Oryctolagus cuniculus: one gene and its partner. The protein of the gene in region 1 purifies or fractionates together with the protein of each later gene. This does not show direct contact. Links are inferred from orthologs where the notes say so. Each region holds a gene or a part of one and is shown in the gene's direction. Other genes may lie near its edges. The genes, in order: CMTR1 and DHX15.

The links.
Region 2: the proteins of CMTR1 (region 1) and DHX15 purify together in Homo sapiens (co-immunoprecipitation; 3 studies listed by BioGRID and IntAct, with this or other methods). This does not show direct contact. The link is inferred for Oryctolagus cuniculus from reciprocal best matches to the Homo sapiens genes CMTR1 and DHX15.

What each region holds. Positions count from the first base shown.
Region 1 is NC_091436.1:132,179,298-132,183,109, reverse strand, and holds part of CMTR1 (cap-specific mRNA (nucleoside-2'-O-)-methyltransferase 1), read left to right. Parts: intron 1-2,188; coding exon 2,189-2,245; intron 2,246-2,983; coding exon 2,984-3,041; intron 3,042-3,812. UniProt on the Homo sapiens protein: S-adenosyl-L-methionine-dependent methyltransferase that mediates mRNA cap1 2'-O-ribose methylation to the 5'-cap structure of mRNAs.
Region 2 is NC_091433.1:19,757,286-19,761,097, reverse strand, and holds part of DHX15 (ATP-dependent RNA helicase DHX15), read left to right. Parts: intron 1-1,998; coding exon 1,999-2,217; intron 2,218-3,812.

The sequences.
Region 1 (3,812 bases):
GAGCCACAGCGCCAGGCCCAGAAATTTAATCATGTAGGATGTTAGTTCCTAATTCTATATTCATCTGAAGTCTTTGGTAGTAGTATCAGGGTTAGGCTGTTTTTATAAAATGATTTAGAAAGTGTTTCCTATTTTTATTTTCTGAAACAATTTATATAAGATTGGCAGTTAATATTTTTTTTTTTTTTTTTTTGACAGGCAGAGTGGACAGTGAGAGAGAGAGACAGAGAGAAAGGTCTTCCTTTGCCGTTGGTTCACCCTCCAATGGCCGCTGCGGCCGGCGCGCTGCGGCCGGCGCACCGCGCTGATCCGATGGCAGGAGCCAGGAGCCAGGTGCTTTTCCTGGTCTCCCATGGGGTGCAGGGCCCAAGCACCTGGGCCATCCTCCACTGCACTCCCTGGCCACAGCAGAGGGCTGGCCTGGAAGAGGGGCAACCGGGACAGAATCCGGCGCCCCGACCGGGACTAGAACCTGGTGTGCCGGCGCTGCTAGGCGGAGGATTAGCCTAGTGAGCCGCGGCGCCGGCCGGCAGTTAATATTTTTTAAATCATTGATAGTGGAGCCATTTGAGCCTGGAGTTTCTGTTTTGAGAAATTTTAAAATTCAATGTCTTGGGGTAGATATTTGGCACAGCGGTTTAGACACTGCTTGGGACACCACATCTCACATCAGAGTGCCTGGTGCAAGTCTCGGCTGCGTGCTCGATGGCAGCCTGGGAGGGCCGCAGCAGATGATCCAGCACTTGGGCCCCTGCCACCCATGTGGGAGACACAGATGGAGCTCCAGGCCTCCTAACTTTGGCCTTGCCCAGCCCTAGCCATTGCAGCCATCTCAGGAGTGAACCAGTAGATGAAAGATTCTCTCTCTCTCTCTCTTTTACTCTACCTTTCAAATAAAATATTAAAAAAAAATACAGGTACTGGGGCTGGTGTTGTGGCACAGTGGGTTGAGCTATGCTTGTGATCCCAGCATCTCATAGTGGATCATCAGTTTGGGTTCCACCTTATATCTGCTTCTGATCCAGCTCGCTGCTAACTTGCCAGGGAAAGCAGCAGATGATGGCCCAAGTGCTTGGACCCCTGCACTCACTTGGGAGACCTCGCTGGAGCTCTGGGCTCCTGGCTTCAGCCTGGCCTAGCACCAGCCATTTTTGTGACTATTTGGGGAGTGAACCAGAGGATGGAAAATCTGTTTCTCTCTCTATTGCTCTACCTTTCAAAGAAAAATAAAAATCTTTAAGTAAAACAGAAGTTACTTTATCTTTGCTCAAATTCTCCATCTTTTTGTGTGTATTGCCTGCCTTTTCCAGTAGATCTTTTAACATGTTTATCACTATCTAAAGGCCCCATCCAGACTTTCAGTGTTTCAGCCATCTCTGGGTCTTGTTCTATTGGGCCGTTTGCCGCCATCATTGTGTCACATTTTCTTGCTTTGTATGCCTCCTAACTTTTTATTCAATGCAAGATGTTATGTGTAATAGGGAAGAATAAAAAAGAAAGGGCAGCTATCAATATGAATGGGTTCAGCCAGCTTAGTATGTAATTGAACTGCAACTAGGATTTGTTGTTGCTTTAATTACAATATTTGTCACTGGTTTCAAATTATTATTATTTTAAAGATTTACTTTATTTATTTGAAAGAGTTACAGAGAGAGGGAGAGAGAGAGAGAGGTCTTACATCCAGTGGTTCACTCTCCAGAAGGTCGCAACAGCCGGAGCTGTGCTAATCCGAAGCCAGGAGCCTCTTCCGGGTCTCCATGTGGGTGCAGGGGCCCAAGGACTTGGGCCATCTTCTACTGCCATCCCAGGTCATAGCAGAGAGCTAGATTGGAAGAGGAGCAGCTGGGACTAGAACCAGCACCCATATGGGATGTTGGCGCTTCAGGCCAGGGCTTTAACCTGCTGCACCACCGTGCCGGCCCCTGATTTCAAATTATGTAAAGGTAGAATCAAAAGCTTTCTCTTCAGTAGGACTTGGGATTGAGTGTCTAGAGGGTTCGACATGATTCTTTCCCTCTGCCCTTAGCCTCCGGTGGGCTCCATAGAACTGCACCTTGGAGTGGCCCTCTCTCAACCACTCAGCCTATTCCCTAAATATAGATGGCCGTAGCTCTGGTTATGTCCTGATGTCATGTGGCTGTCTTGTGTGGAAATCCTTCTGAGATCAAACCATTTCTTTCTCTACTAGCCATTGTAGTCTGCAGATCAAAGCTCTGGCCAAAATCCACGCCTTTGTTCAAGACACGTAAGTGTTGCCTCCTTTTCTGAATTCACCTATTTCAAGGGAAGATTTGTTTGCTCTTCCCCAAAGCTCTATTTATTTCATTGCAACAACACACACGTGGACTGTGAAGGATGTCACAGAAGCCTATGGTGTGAACTGGTCCTCAGAGACTATAAGTCGCCATTGGGCAAATAACCAGGAAAAGGAGACAGGAAGAGTTCCTAGCAGTGCCTCAGAGTCAGCAGCATGGCACAAGTGAAACACAGTGTTCAGGCGACAGAGTAAGGGGTGGGCAGGGAGAACCTCCGGTGGGGGTGACCAGGAGTTGTGGCAGCTGCACGAGGCGTGTGGACCTCTGCTGACGGGTCTTCTGTGGCGTGTCACAGAGGAGGACCCAGGACGTGCTGAAGGGTGATCGGAAGAGGGCTGTGTGGGGGCCCCGGCATAGGTGTGTGTGTTAGGGGGGTAGTCACCTTCCTTCTGTGGGGCCAACAGTGAGCAGAACCACCTCTGACCTCCCCTTTCCACAGAGAGCAGGTGTCCCGCGGTGGAAGGGGCGGTAATCCCATTCCACGTACGCCTGTTGTCAGGAGGAGCGGCCCTGAGTGCAGTGAGCACCTGGCCGCGGGGCACGGCCTTTGTGTGTGCACGTGCGTTCCGGTGTCGGCCTCCTCTGGGTTGTGGGTTGTGAGGGGCACACAGGGAGCTTGCCCCTGTGCTTTCGGAGGATTTAACCATTTCCTGGCTTCGTTTTCTCAGGACCCTGAGTGAACCTCGGCAGGCAGAGATCCGCAAAGAGTGCCTGCAGCTCTGGGGGGTGAGTGTCTCCCGGGCCTGTTGTCACTGTCGGGCCGAGAAGCTCTGGAGAGCAGGGCTGCCCCGAGCCCTGTCAGTTGCGGATCCCCGCCCACCCAGCCTGGAAAGTGGCTGCCTCTAACAGTACTGCAGAGCTGGCTTCTGGGCGCTGCAGGGCGCTGCCTCCTCGGCCTGGCACTGCCAGTTTGTCAGTAGGTGGGTCAGAAGGGATGGGGTGGGAGGTGGACAGGCTTCATTTTGCTACTGGTGGTCCCTGCCCACAAAGCGCCCCAGAGAGAAGTGTGCGACCACAGGTCTGGAATCGCCCAACTCCCTCGCCCACTTTCCAGCTTCCTTCTTTTTCTCTTTTCTCCCTTTCTCCCTCCCTCCCTTCCTTCCTTCCTTTTCAAGATTTATTTATTTATTTGAAAGAGCTTCAGAGAGTCTTCTATCTGCTGGTTCAGTCCCCAGATGGCCACAATGGCTGGGTCTGGGCCAGGCTGAAACCAGGAGCTTCTTCCATGGGTGCAGGGGCCATCTGCATCTGTTTTCCCCAAGCCACTAGCAGGGAGCTGGATCGGAGGTGAAGCCCCAGGACATGAACTGGCACCCCATGGGATGGCGGCACTGCAGGCGGCAGCCTTACCCCCCACGCCACGCTGCCAGCCCAGTCCAGCTCCCTTTCTTGTGTTCCATTTCCTCTGCTGCAGTCTGAACAGGCCCCTTGCCTGCACCTGCTCACACACAGCCTTGGTCAGCAGGGCTCGTGACGGGGCTCTCCGCGCTCTCCTTT
Region 2 (3,812 bases), on another chromosome or scaffold:
CTTTGTGTATGTGTATGAAATGGGAAACACTTACTTCATGGTTAATCACTAATCAGCCATTAAAAAAAAACTACCTGTAAAAGAAGCCACCAAAAGTATCTATCTTTGTTTCTAATCTGCTAACTTTGCTAGGTCTTTATTTTAGAATTTATTTCTCCAGAGTGGGGATGAAGAGTGATAGACTGATGAGTTGTCCATCTGTTGGTTAACTCTCCAAATAGCCACAACCCTGGGACTGGGCCAAGGCCGAAGCAGGATCCTGAAACTCCATCCAGGTCTCCTGCATGGGTTAACAGGACGCAAATACTGCGACCGTCTTCCACTGCTTCCCCAGGAGCATTTGCAGGGAGTGGGATCAGAAGTGGAACAGCTAGGAACATAACTAGCACTCAAGTGGGATGTCAGTGTTGCAGGCAGTAACTTAGAGCACATACCGGCCCCAGTAATATATTTTTATGGCATATCTTACTAGTTTCTGATCCTTTCTTTTGGCATATTAATTAATTTATTTATTTGAAAGAGAGTTTCAGAGAGAAAGAGAGTGCTTCCATCTGCTGCTTTGCACCACAGATGGCTGTAAGGGCTGGAATGGGCTGATCTGAAGCCAGGATCTTCCAGGTCTCCCACATGAGTACAGGGGCCCAAACACTTGGGCAATCTAATTCTGGATTCCCAGGCACATTAGCAGGGAGCTGGATCAGAAGTGGAGTATCTGGGGTTTGACCCAGTGCCCATATGAGATGCTGGAGCCATAGGCAGTGGCTTTACCCACCATGCCACCGTCCTGGCCCCTTTTAGCATATTTTTGTAACTGTTGCTCACCTTGTCTTTCATCCCTTCATTACGTACAAGAGGGCTCATTTCTTTAAGCAGTGTCTTTGTTGCTCAGATTCCTGTCATCTCAGCCCTCAAAATCACTGATAACGCTGGAACAACTACCAGGACAAGCACTCATCAGAAGGACATTTGTTTACACTTGTGTCTTCCTTTTTTTTTTCTCTCTCCTATACCGCTTAGATCTTGGCCAGGGTTGCCGTGTTAAGGGTTTAAAGCTGACTGAATATTTTCTGACATTATCTTATCAGTCCTTTGACATATAATTTCATAAGTGGTTTTTTTTGACAGAGTGGACAGAGAGATAGGTCTTCCTTTGCCGTTGGTTCACCCTCCAATGGCCGCCGCGGCCGGCACACTGCGCTGACCCGAAGGCAGGAGCCAGGTGCTTCTCCTGGTCTCCCATGGGGTGCAGGGCCATCCTCCACTGCACTCCTGGGCCACAGCAGAGAGGTGGCCTGGAAGAGGGGCAACCAGGACAGAATCTGGCGCCCCGACCGGGACTAGAACCCGGTGTGCCGGTGCCGCTAGGCTGAGGATTAGCCTGTTGAGCCGCGGCACCAGCTAGTTTTGTTTTTAAAATTTTATTTATTTATTTGAGAGGCAGAGTTACAGACAGTGAGAGGAGAAGCAGAAAGGTTTCCTTCCATTGGTTCACTCTCCAAATGGCCACAACGGCCATAGTTGAGCTGATCTGAAGCCAGGAGCCAGGTGCTTTTTTCCGGTCTCCTACGTGGGTACGGGGGGCCCAAGGACTTGGCCCATCTTCTGCTGCTTTCCCAGGCGAAAGCAGAGAGCTGGATTGGAAGAGGAGCATCTGGGGACTAGAACCGGCGCCCATATGGGATGCTGGTGCTGTAGGTGGAGATTAACCTACTGTGCCACCATGGTGCGGGTCCCCAAGTTTTGGTTTTGAAAGTGTTGGTTCATGTAAATTTACATGTTTAATGTTTTACTTAAAATTTTTAAATAATTTGTAATAAATAACATAACTTGCTGTAGTTCAGGCTTTTCTGCATTTGATATTTAAATCACAGTGTATTTGAAATTTTTAAGCTTTATAATAGATAACAATGAAAATATTTTTACCTTTACTATTCTGTTTTTTGAGACCATGTAAGAACCCTTGAAGACAATTTCAAGTAGTTTACTGTTTTCTTTCAGGTGATAGTTATGAGTGCTACTCTGGATGCAGGAAAATTCCAGATTTACTTCGATAACTGTCCACTCTTAACTATTCCTGGGCGTACACATCCTGTTGAGATCTTCTATACTCCAGAACCGGAGAGAGATTATCTTGAAGCAGCAATCCGAACAGTGATCCAGATTCATATGTGTGAAGAGGAGGAGGGAGATCTTCTGCTTTTCTTAACTGGTCAAGAGGTATTGTCATTGTTTCCTTCGTTAATAGCCTTTGACACATTTCTATCAAGCAGCGGCCTTGATTTAGATATTAACTATATTTTTCTTATCCCGTTGTTTGAAGTTTTTCTTCAACCTGATTGTACTAACATATTAAACATGACCCTTTTATTTATGTACTCTGGGAAATTTTTTTTTCTTTGGCGACTGATTGTGTTAATTATAGCAAGAGTGTTAAGTGCTTTTAGAATTTCAGGATTTAGCAGTTGTATCAATTTTGATGCAGCCTGGGTTGTGTTATTTTGCTGATGCATGAATTGGAATCCCAGCTCCTGTAAAATCATGCATTTCTTCAATTCAAAATTGGTTGTTTTGGTTATGAGTGAAGTTAGGTGTCCATCCACCCTCAAAATGTTTGTCTTCTTTTTGTTCGTTCTTTTGCATGTGCTGAGGATTGAAGGGATCAGTGAAGTTTCCTAGTTAGAACTTCATTTTTAGACAACAGATTTTCATGTGTAGTAGCTTTTCTTTTTTCAGAAGTTTTTCATTTGAGAGGTAGAGTGACAGAGATATCTTCCATCTGCTGGTTTACTCCCCAGATGGCATTAAGGACTGGGCTAGGCCAGGTGGAAGCCAGATTTCAGGAACTCCATCCTGGTCTTCCACAAGGATGGCAGGGTGCCAGGTACTTAAGCCATCTTCATTGTTTTCCCAGGCACATTGATGGAGAGCTGGATAGGAAACAGCAGCAGGGTTTTGAACTGGCAGTCTGATATGGGATGCTGATGGCTGCTTCACCCACTAGACTACAGTGTTTGCCCCACAAGTGTACTATTTCTATTTTTTTTTTTAACAGGCAGAGTGGACAGTGAGAGAGAGAGACAGAGAGAAAGGTCTTCCTTTGCCGTTGGTTCACCCCCCAATGGCCACTGCGGCCGGCGCACTGCGGCCAGCGCACCGCGCTGATCCGATGGCAGGAGCCAGGTGCTTTTCCTGGTCTCCCATGGGGTGCAGGGCCCAAGTACCTGGGCCATCCTCCACTGCACTCCCGGGCCACAGCAGAGAGCTGGCCTAGAAGAGGGGCAACCGGGACAGAATCCGGCGCCCCGACCGGGACTAGAACCCGGTGTGCCGGCGCCGCTAGGTGGAGGATTAGCCTAGTGAGCCGCGGTGCCTGCCTACTATTTCTATTTACAGCAGGGCATTTATAGGTATGCTATTAAATTCTTCAAAGGCTAAATGCAAGAAAAGCTATTTGGATAAAACAACATTTTAGGAAACCATTTCATAGAGATTGTTATGAGCTTTTTTTCTTTTGATCTCATGGGCCTTGTGAATTTTCCAGAATATAATTTTTTCTTTTAACTATTTCTTTGTTTGAAAGGCAGTGTTACAGAGAGGCAGTGGCAGAGATAGAGTGGGTAGCAAGAGCGAGCTTCTATCTGCTGGTTCACTCCCCAGATGGCCTCAAAGGCCGGAGCTGGGCTGTTCCAATGTTTGGAGCCAGGAGCTTCCTCCAGGTCTCCCATACGGGTGCAGTCCTTGGGCCATCTTCTGCTGCCTTCCTATGCCATAGCAGAGAGTTGGATTGGAAGTGTAGCAGCTGGGACTCCAAC